Linked DNA regions of Tribolium castaneum. The protein of the gene in region 2 binds, or shares a complex with, the protein of the main gene of each other region. Links are inferred from orthologs where the notes say so. Each region holds a gene or a part of one and is shown on either strand. Other genes may lie near its edges.

What was found. The genes of interacting proteins can lie anywhere in the genome.
Region 1: the proteins of WD repeat-containing protein 48 homolog (region 2) and WD repeat-containing protein 20 are in contact, whole or in part, in a crystal structure (PDB 5K1C), measured with the Homo sapiens proteins. The link is inferred for Tribolium castaneum from reciprocal best matches to the Homo sapiens genes WDR48 and WDR20. Residues at the interface, in NP_065890.1 of Homo sapiens: Val191, Lys207, Gly208, Gly240, Gln241, Gln242, Arg243, Cys244, Ile245; in NP_653175.2 of Homo sapiens: Arg20, Ser364, Thr384, Glu385, Asp386, Glu524, Pro525, Leu526.

The regions. Positions count from the first base shown.
Region 1 is NC_087396.1:10,866,533-10,870,286, reverse strand, and holds WD repeat-containing protein 20, read right to left. Parts: upstream 2,536-3,754; 5' UTR 2,089-2,535; coding exon 730-2,088; 3' UTR 506-729; downstream 1-505. Other genes in the region: DppIII (dipeptidyl peptidase 3), read left to right, coding at 1-148; UDP-glycosyltransferase UGT5, read right to left, coding at 3,118-3,415, 3,470-3,689, 3,737-3,754. UniProt on the Homo sapiens protein: Regulator of deubiquitinating complexes. Activates deubiquitinating activity of complexes containing USP12. Anchors at the base of the ubiquitin-contacting loop of USP12 and remotely modulates the catalytic center of the enzyme.
Region 2 is NC_087402.1:5,165,146-5,169,362, reverse strand, and holds the start of WD repeat-containing protein 48 homolog, read right to left. Parts: upstream 2,801-4,217; 5' UTR 2,596-2,800; coding exon 2,548-2,595; intron 2,492-2,547; coding exon 2,287-2,491; intron 2,240-2,286; coding exon 2,027-2,239; intron 1,980-2,026; coding exon 1,636-1,979; intron 1,587-1,635; coding exon 1,482-1,586; intron 1,239-1,481; coding exon 712-1,238; intron 667-711; coding exon 459-666; intron 413-458; coding exon 140-412; 3' UTR 1-139. Other genes in the region: uncharacterized protein LOC107397745, read left to right, coding at 3,580-3,591, 3,642-3,998. UniProt on the Homo sapiens protein: Regulator of deubiquitinating complexes, which acts as a strong activator of USP1, USP12 and USP46. Enhances the USP1-mediated deubiquitination of FANCD2; USP1 being almost inactive by itself.

The DNA.
Region 1 (3,754 bases), on a different chromosome or scaffold from region 2:
TGTGTTGAGTTCGAACGTCGAATTGAAAACGTATGGGGAAACCCCGGAAGGGATGATCCAGTCGTGGACTGAACGGTTCCCGAATCCCGAGCCCTTGTATCAGGCTTTGATAGATTTAAGTGCCTCTAATGAGCACTATTTTATTTAATTTTTAATAACGATTAATTATTAGATTATATACGATGCTTTATAAACAATAAAATGATTCTTTGCACTTTGGGAATTTTATTCAACCAACCTACCCCATCCCTGACGGCTAGTAATAATAATGATGCTTCAAATTTTTTCTCCCGTTTGTCGTGAAACTAAAATTTTCGTCAGTTTTCTCAGCTTATTAAGAATTTGATGCTCAACGTTACGGCCATTTTTTGCAGTTAGTAAATTTAAATCAGTTTAGAGCCGAGATAATTTAACGCTTGAAGCGCCTTCAATTGCCTTTTGATACAAAAAAGCGAGTTATTTTGTAAGGATTTTATTTGGAAAAAGGGTTAAAATGAAATACAAGTTTCAAAATATCTTCATATATTTACGAATGATAAAATTACGAAAAATCACACCAATTATGCAACAGATTCTACATCCATCAATTACACTTACATGCTATCAGGTGAAAAAATGCAACCAAGCGTTTGCTATTTTACACTTTGGTTCCACAGTTTTATCCACCTGTTATTGCCCCTACTATGTATAAAAGTTGAATAAAAATCTAATTAGAAAAATACGACATATTCAGGAAGGGGGCCTTGCCCATGTATACACATAACCGTCTTGGCACGCCGTAATGATACAATCAGGTCGAAAAACCAAAGCAGTCAACCTTTCATGAGCAATTTTTTTACAAACTAAAGGTTCCAACACCGGACACTCGTCCAGCCTGGGACAGGCCGGTGTCCCCACCAGCTGCAAAGGATCCGACCTTCTCTTAACCTTCGGTTTCGAAGGAGTCGTCAACGCGTCTTCGGGCAGCTCCCAAAGACACAACTGCGTGTCGTGCCCCACTGACCCCAGCCTGTAGCACGACTCCGCCTCCAGGAACCAATCAAACGCCACGGCGGCCACCCACGAGCGGTGCCCCTGCGCCCTCCCGACGACCCGCTTCTGCTCCATGGAGTAAACAGTGACCAAATCGTCTTCGCCCCCCACTGCAATCAGGCGCCCGTCGCCAGACCACGCCACGCAGAGCAGCCCCCCGAAGTACGAGCGGGCGGTGCCCAGCAGCTCCATACTGTCGTACTGGAACACCCGCAACTGCCCATCTTGCGACACTATGGCCAGTTGGGCCCCACTGGGGCTGAACGCCAGCTCGTTAATGGCGCTTCCGGTGCCCAGAAGCCACCGGAAAAGAGGGTTCCGGGTCGATTTCGTCTTGCAAGTGCTCACACTGAAGCCCTCCCCCACTTTGAACGGCTGATAATGGGGGGCTGCCGAGCCACACGGGAGCTCCTCATTGTACACATACAACTGGCCTGAGGCGTGCGCTGCTAGGAACAACGACCGGCTTCCCGGCACCCACCTTAAACATGTAACCCTCGTTTTGTCAATAAGCCGCTCCTCGTTGAACAATTTGTTCAATTCTTTCTTAATCGGGTCAATTAGCTGGATCTGACCCGTGCTGAAGCCGATCAAGAGACTGACGCTCTCGCCCGAAGCTGACGCGATGTTAAAATCGTGACACGTCGGGTTCGTCCCTTTGTACACCTTCTTCTCCAAGGGCTTGCTCAAATCGGCCGCTTTCTTGATCCCTTTGTACACGTAAACGTACAGCTCCCGCCCATGGTTGAAGCAAATTCTCTCCCCCTGGTCCGGAAGCGTGACAAGGGAGACACGCACCTGGGGCGGCGTTTGCCCCTGAGTCTGATAACCGACTCGGTTAGGCCTCGAGTATTCGCTGAGGGTCATGAGACGGTAGGTGCCTTCGCGAGTCACGAACTGGGTCTTCACGTCGCCGGGCTCGCCCCCGAGCGGGCGTTCGAGGGGGCGGTCGCCCGCTTCCAGAAGCGACTGACTACATAAAGTGTCTGCTCTTGCCATTTTCGGGGCCAAAATACGCGAAGACATTCTATGACGAATTCTACAATTTACACACATTTAGGAGCCGAGGTGAAGACGTTGCAGCATTGCAGCGGTGGCTCGGGCGGTTTTATCACATTTTTGCTGGTAGTAAGGCTAATTCACTACTTTTTCGTCTATTTGTGGCAATTAGACATGGAAAATGAGGTTAGGAAATAAATAATATTTGAAAAGCAGAGACGCCAATAGCGGGCAAGGAATATCCCCGCCAGGAGAGCGAGCGGTTTTTTTAAACTGATTATTCATTATTTCCGTTTGGGAATAAAACACTGTAGGGCAACTATTTAGGATAAAATGCAGGTATTCCTATAAGGATGGTAAAATAAGAGTATTAAAATCTATGGACTGCCATTATTCTTACTATTACGGTCTTGTCAAAGCATATTTTTATTTTAACTACTCTACTCTACTATGTATTTTATCAATATTTCTTATGCATTTGGTATTGTTGAACTGATTGTTTTATTTAGTTATTGATAACTACTGTCTGGGCAAATAACACATGACCGCTGTTGATGTAACACGTATCTGATGAATTATTTATAACAATATGCTGAATCAATAAAAATTAAAAAATAATTAGATTGGGCAGCATAGTTTGACTTAATAATTCCAGTCTTAATTTGTGTTTACAATATATTTTTACAATAAAACTTGATTATTATCTTGGAGGTTACCACACGCTCGAAACATATAATTTTGGGAACAAAATAATTTTTTGCCGCGTCTAAACTCTAAACACAAACATTTAATTACAATAATACATACTATAATTTAATGCTTACAATTTTACAACTCTATATACAAGGCAAGTCTGCATTTTTACCGCATTTTTTCTTATTTTAGGCATTGTTTGTTAATAAATTTACGTAAGAAATTTTTTTTTCAAAGATTTAACAGGCATTATATTAATCTATTAATTTTAATTATGAAGAAATGAGCAAAGATTCTGAAAAAATTCACATGCATGCATAGGGAAAAAATTAAGTATTTAATAGCAATAAACCATAAAAAAGTACCTATTTTTATTGGAAGTTGCAACAACATTTATTGTATTTTTTTCTTAATGTCCAACTCCTTTGCAATACCTTTTCTTCTGATGCATTTATAAATAAGATATGTGGCACAGTAAACAGTGAGTAAGATTAACACAAGTGAAAGCAGAGACACAAATACTAAATCTAAATTAGCAGATTCGACGAAATTCATGTTTCTTGTAGCTAGATTGAAGTGTTCTGCAGTCTTAAATTTTAAAATGTATTCGATCCAAAATATTGCGACGTCTAAAGGTTTGTTCATTTGATGTTTGTACAACGCGGACCACTTTTTTGCGTTTTCCATATAACTAAAATTGTTAATTTCACATTTTCCTTGCTACAACTACAATTAACAAACTTACGTATTGTTGTTTAACACTTTTTGAATGACTTTAAATAAATTGTGTTCTGTGATTTCAAAAAAACTTAATTTTTCGCCGACACCTTTTGCAATAAACGTGTCAACATTTTGTAACTGGTCCAAAAAGAACGGAATTCCGATTACTGGAACCCCATTATACATGATTTCGTGTGAACTTAACAAACCGCCATGTGATATAAAAAGAATTGTATTGGGATGACCTAAAATTAGTAATTAAAATAATTAAAAGAAATATAGAAAAAAACACCGAGAATATCGTTCTGTG
Region 2 (4,217 bases):
TTTATTTTAATTTTTCGTGTTACATATTTTTATTGCAAACAAATACGAAAAACATATACTGCTAAATGTTTGATTACAAGAAACTAGTATAAATCTGTCCACCAAAATCATGGATAAATAAATAAGTGTAAGGAATGAATTATTTGGGGTTGACAATCCTGTAGTGCAGCGTCAGGTCTGCCGAAGATTTCCAGATGAAATGTTTAACGGTTCGTAAGTCCATGGCTGGGTCCAGGACTTGGTCATTGCAGGTCAGTTCAATTTGATCAACGTTGTACCCGTTGCCGCTGGGAGTGGTCGAATCGGCGTCACCTCCGGGAGAACTTGCGTTTCCATCCCCCAGTAATTTCTCCAAAATATGTTCGGCAACTTTGCGACACTGGATAAAATCATTGGCTACCAATCTATCGGGCTGAAAAAACAACTTCAAGGAGTGTTAAACCAAAAAAAATAGCTACTTTTTTCAGTCTGTCTTGTTTCAATAAATGAGACGGGACCGAAGAGTGCGGCTGAAGGTAAAACTGCACTTTGATGAATTTCCCGGTACTGTTCTCCTCAATAATGGAAATAACCCAATTAGGCACTGTTTCGTTCAGGAGCGCATTTTCGGTGTCTCCGACTGTGTCGCCCACCAAGACCCGGTAAAGCGTGCGCCCGCCCACTTCACTACAAAAAATATTACGGCAATTTGTCATTTGAGGCTTTATTTACCTCAAAATCAAGGGTATATGTTTGGGTACTGAGAAGTACAGTTTATTTTCGGGGTCTCTCTCCACGCCTCTCCAATGCTCGAACAGTGCTTGCAGTAGCAATTTTCCGTAGTTTACTTTTTGGTCGGGGTCTGGACAGTCCCTGATTCCCGCATCCCTGGCCGAAACCCAGGCCGAGAAGCAATCGACTTCGTCCTGTCCTAAATGAATCGTCAGCATTCCAGTCTTTAAATCAACATTGAACCAATTCGGGACGTAAACTACTTTGAATCGGTTTTTTATTTCGTCTTGGAAATTGATTTGGCCTAGGTCTTCGATTTTTCGCGCACGCAAAACGTCGTAAAGAGCGACATTATCGTTGGCATCTTTGGTCAAAATGTGTCTCTTGTCGTTGAGAACGACGGCCTGACGTATCGCAGCACCGCCTGGTATCAGCGAAATGGGCGATGTCGGCATTTTGGCCTCTTCTTTGAAGTGTTTCTCGGTTGGCAACTTCCAACAGCGAATGCTGGAGTTGGAAGTTGACACCTAGGTAAACCCGAAAGCAAGAAAAATTATAAATAACAGACAATAAAATGCGTGAACGGGAAACGAAACATAAATAGAAAAAAAATGTTGCCTCATGTGCTTCCAAATAACAATAAAAAAAGAGAAATGTTGGAACTACAAAAACTTTGTTCAGCTGTTTGTACCTTGAGTATTAATAACAACAGAAAATGTTGAGGAATTGGGAAATCTTTAAGAAATCTGATGCAAAAAAAAATTACTAACCCAGACAGCCTGCTGGTCTGCCGTGAAGCACATTTTGAGCACTGGCGCCTCCTCCACACAGACCACAACGCTGTTCTGGGGGTTTTTCAGATCAGTCATTATCACCTGGAAGTTATTTGGTAAAATTTTTCAAAATAACGTGCAAAATCATTGCCTTCTTGTCCCTACCACCGGAGATTACATGAGTGAAATTTTCCGTGGCCAGAAGTGCCCAAACGGAGTCGCTATGCACTCTGATTGTTTGGATACACCTCTGGCCCCCTAAACTCCACACTTTGATGGACCCATCGCTGCTGCCAGAAATGCAATGAGTGCCATCTTTTGACACAACTAAAGCCTTAACGTTATCAGTGTGACCTTTTAACTTAAACAACTTGACGCAATTTCGCGGGTCCCAAAGCCTGAGGGCTTTCTCGGTGGATCCGCTTACTATAACAGTGCCTGGAGGGTTCATTGCTAGGCTATAAATTGATTCTTTGCTGCCCATCAAACTAGAAGCTATTAGAATTCGTGTGAGTGTGTGTATTACAACATTCTGGACTTACTAGTGACTGTGTTATTGCTCGCTGTTAGTGCTGTTAAGGTGTTGATGTCCCACAAGTAAATGGATTTATCAAGACCTGCAGACGCGACTTGTTCTCTGTCTTTGGCGTAAGCCAAGGCTTTCACATAGTCTTTATGTGTTCGCAGAGTTGACATGCAGAAGCCCTTGTGGGCGTTCCATACTTTAACAGTAGTGTCAGAACTTGCAGAGATTACTATAAAAATATATTCAGGAAAAAATAAACGAAAGGGGAAGTAATACAGTGCCGGCCTCCGCAACACAGAACTATGTCATTAACCCAATCAGTATGGTGCTCCATTCCGTGTAAATAGCGCTCATGTTCATACACCCTAATAATTGAGTCCCTCCCAGCAGAATACAAACGGTCTAATGCCGGATCTATCTGAAGGGCATTTACCCCAGATCTGTGTCTTTTCTCCTCAGCTTCGCAAATTACCATTGATACCTGGCCAAGATTGTTGCAAAAAACTGTTTTGTAAATACAGAATGTAAACAACTAACCTGGACTTTTTTTCGCGGATTTTGCCCGCCTGGCTTCAGATTTGCCATTTTTTGGAAGTTTAGCAATGTGGCATTTTTTATTTAAAGAAATGGGCTATAAATTGGCGTGATTAGTGTAAAAAAAGCTTTTTTGAAAAGCTTTGTAAAAACTTGAGGTTAGAACGGTCTGACTTTATTTTGACATTTGGGAAGCCAGCGCAGTGGCGGCACGTAATTAGGGGGCAATGATTAAAAAAATGCGAAAAGTTTTGTGTTTCAGTAATAATTCAACTCTAGACCATCCGTCACAATAACCATAACATTTTTGTAATTTTGTACCGGTTTAGAGCAGCGTCATTGTAAATTAATATTCATTACATAAGTGATCACATGACTAAATTGAACCAATCAGAACGCTTCATTAACGCGTCAATCGAAAATTTAATATGAATTTTTGACTTGTTTTCTAGGAATTTTAAAAGATCAAGAATCTTGACTATCATTTGGTGGTTTTTTTCTAAAAGTTATTCGGTTTTTTCTGATATTCTTGCGATAGATTGGACTTTAAAATAGAATGTAAAAAATTGATATTTACTTTTGGAATCACTTTCTGAATTTGTCGTCTTCATACCTATTTACATTTTCCGTTTGTAAATTTTTTTTCTAATAATTTATTTAGAATTATTTATTTGGAAATTATTATTTATTTGATATTTAAAACATTGCCAAATATTTGAACGCATTAACATTTTCTAGAACCAGTCGCAGATTTAGGTACCACAGCAATTATTTTAATTTCCGCGTGCGTGTAACAATTCTTACGTAAGATTTCTAAAGATTTCATTCCACTCTATTAATTAAAATCGGGTACCTAAGCTTAAATTATTGTAAATAGGTCACTTTTACATTTGACCCCTAAATTGTGCACAACGTTGGTAAGAAGTAACTGATCTTAACCATGGTGTTATATTGAAACAAGTGCAAGAATGGTATCACGTTTCAAATAATCACTATATAAATCATGGGGTACCATTCATTCGTCACTGTTTCAGAATGAATCATTTGGTAAGTCCTTAATGAAATTTATTAATTAATAATAATTAATCAATATTAAGTTCGTTGCCGTTTTCGCCATCGTGGCGATAAGTTGCGTTAAGGGAGGGTTTCTGTATGGGGGCGGAGGTGGAGGCGGAGGCGGCGGCGGCGGCGGTCATGGGGGTGGCAGCGTGGCCACTTCAAGTGTTTACACCGCTCGCACCATCCACACCGGATCTCTAGGCCACGGAGGCGGTTTTTCTAGCGGAGGTGGTTTCTCAAGTGGCGGCGGTGGCGGTTCTGGCGGCAGCGGAGGACGAGGAGGACACTCTGGAGGATTCTTCGCCAGTGGCGGCGGCAGCGGCGGAGGCGGAAGTGGCGGATTCAGTTCCGGCAATTTTGGAGGTTTTGGTTACGGACATGGTTTTCACGGCTGAATACGCTTCAAATTTTTGTAATTAGGTTAAGGTAGTTCACTGCGTACATCTTAGATTTAAGTACTGTAAGCTTGACATATCATTAGTAATAAAATCTGTAGTTTATTAGAGACGCGGAGTTTTATTTGTTTTTTTTTGGGGGGGTTTTTGAACAAATCTCACACCGATTAAAAAATAGTTGCATTTATTTATTCCGTATGTACAGAGTGTAAGCATTAA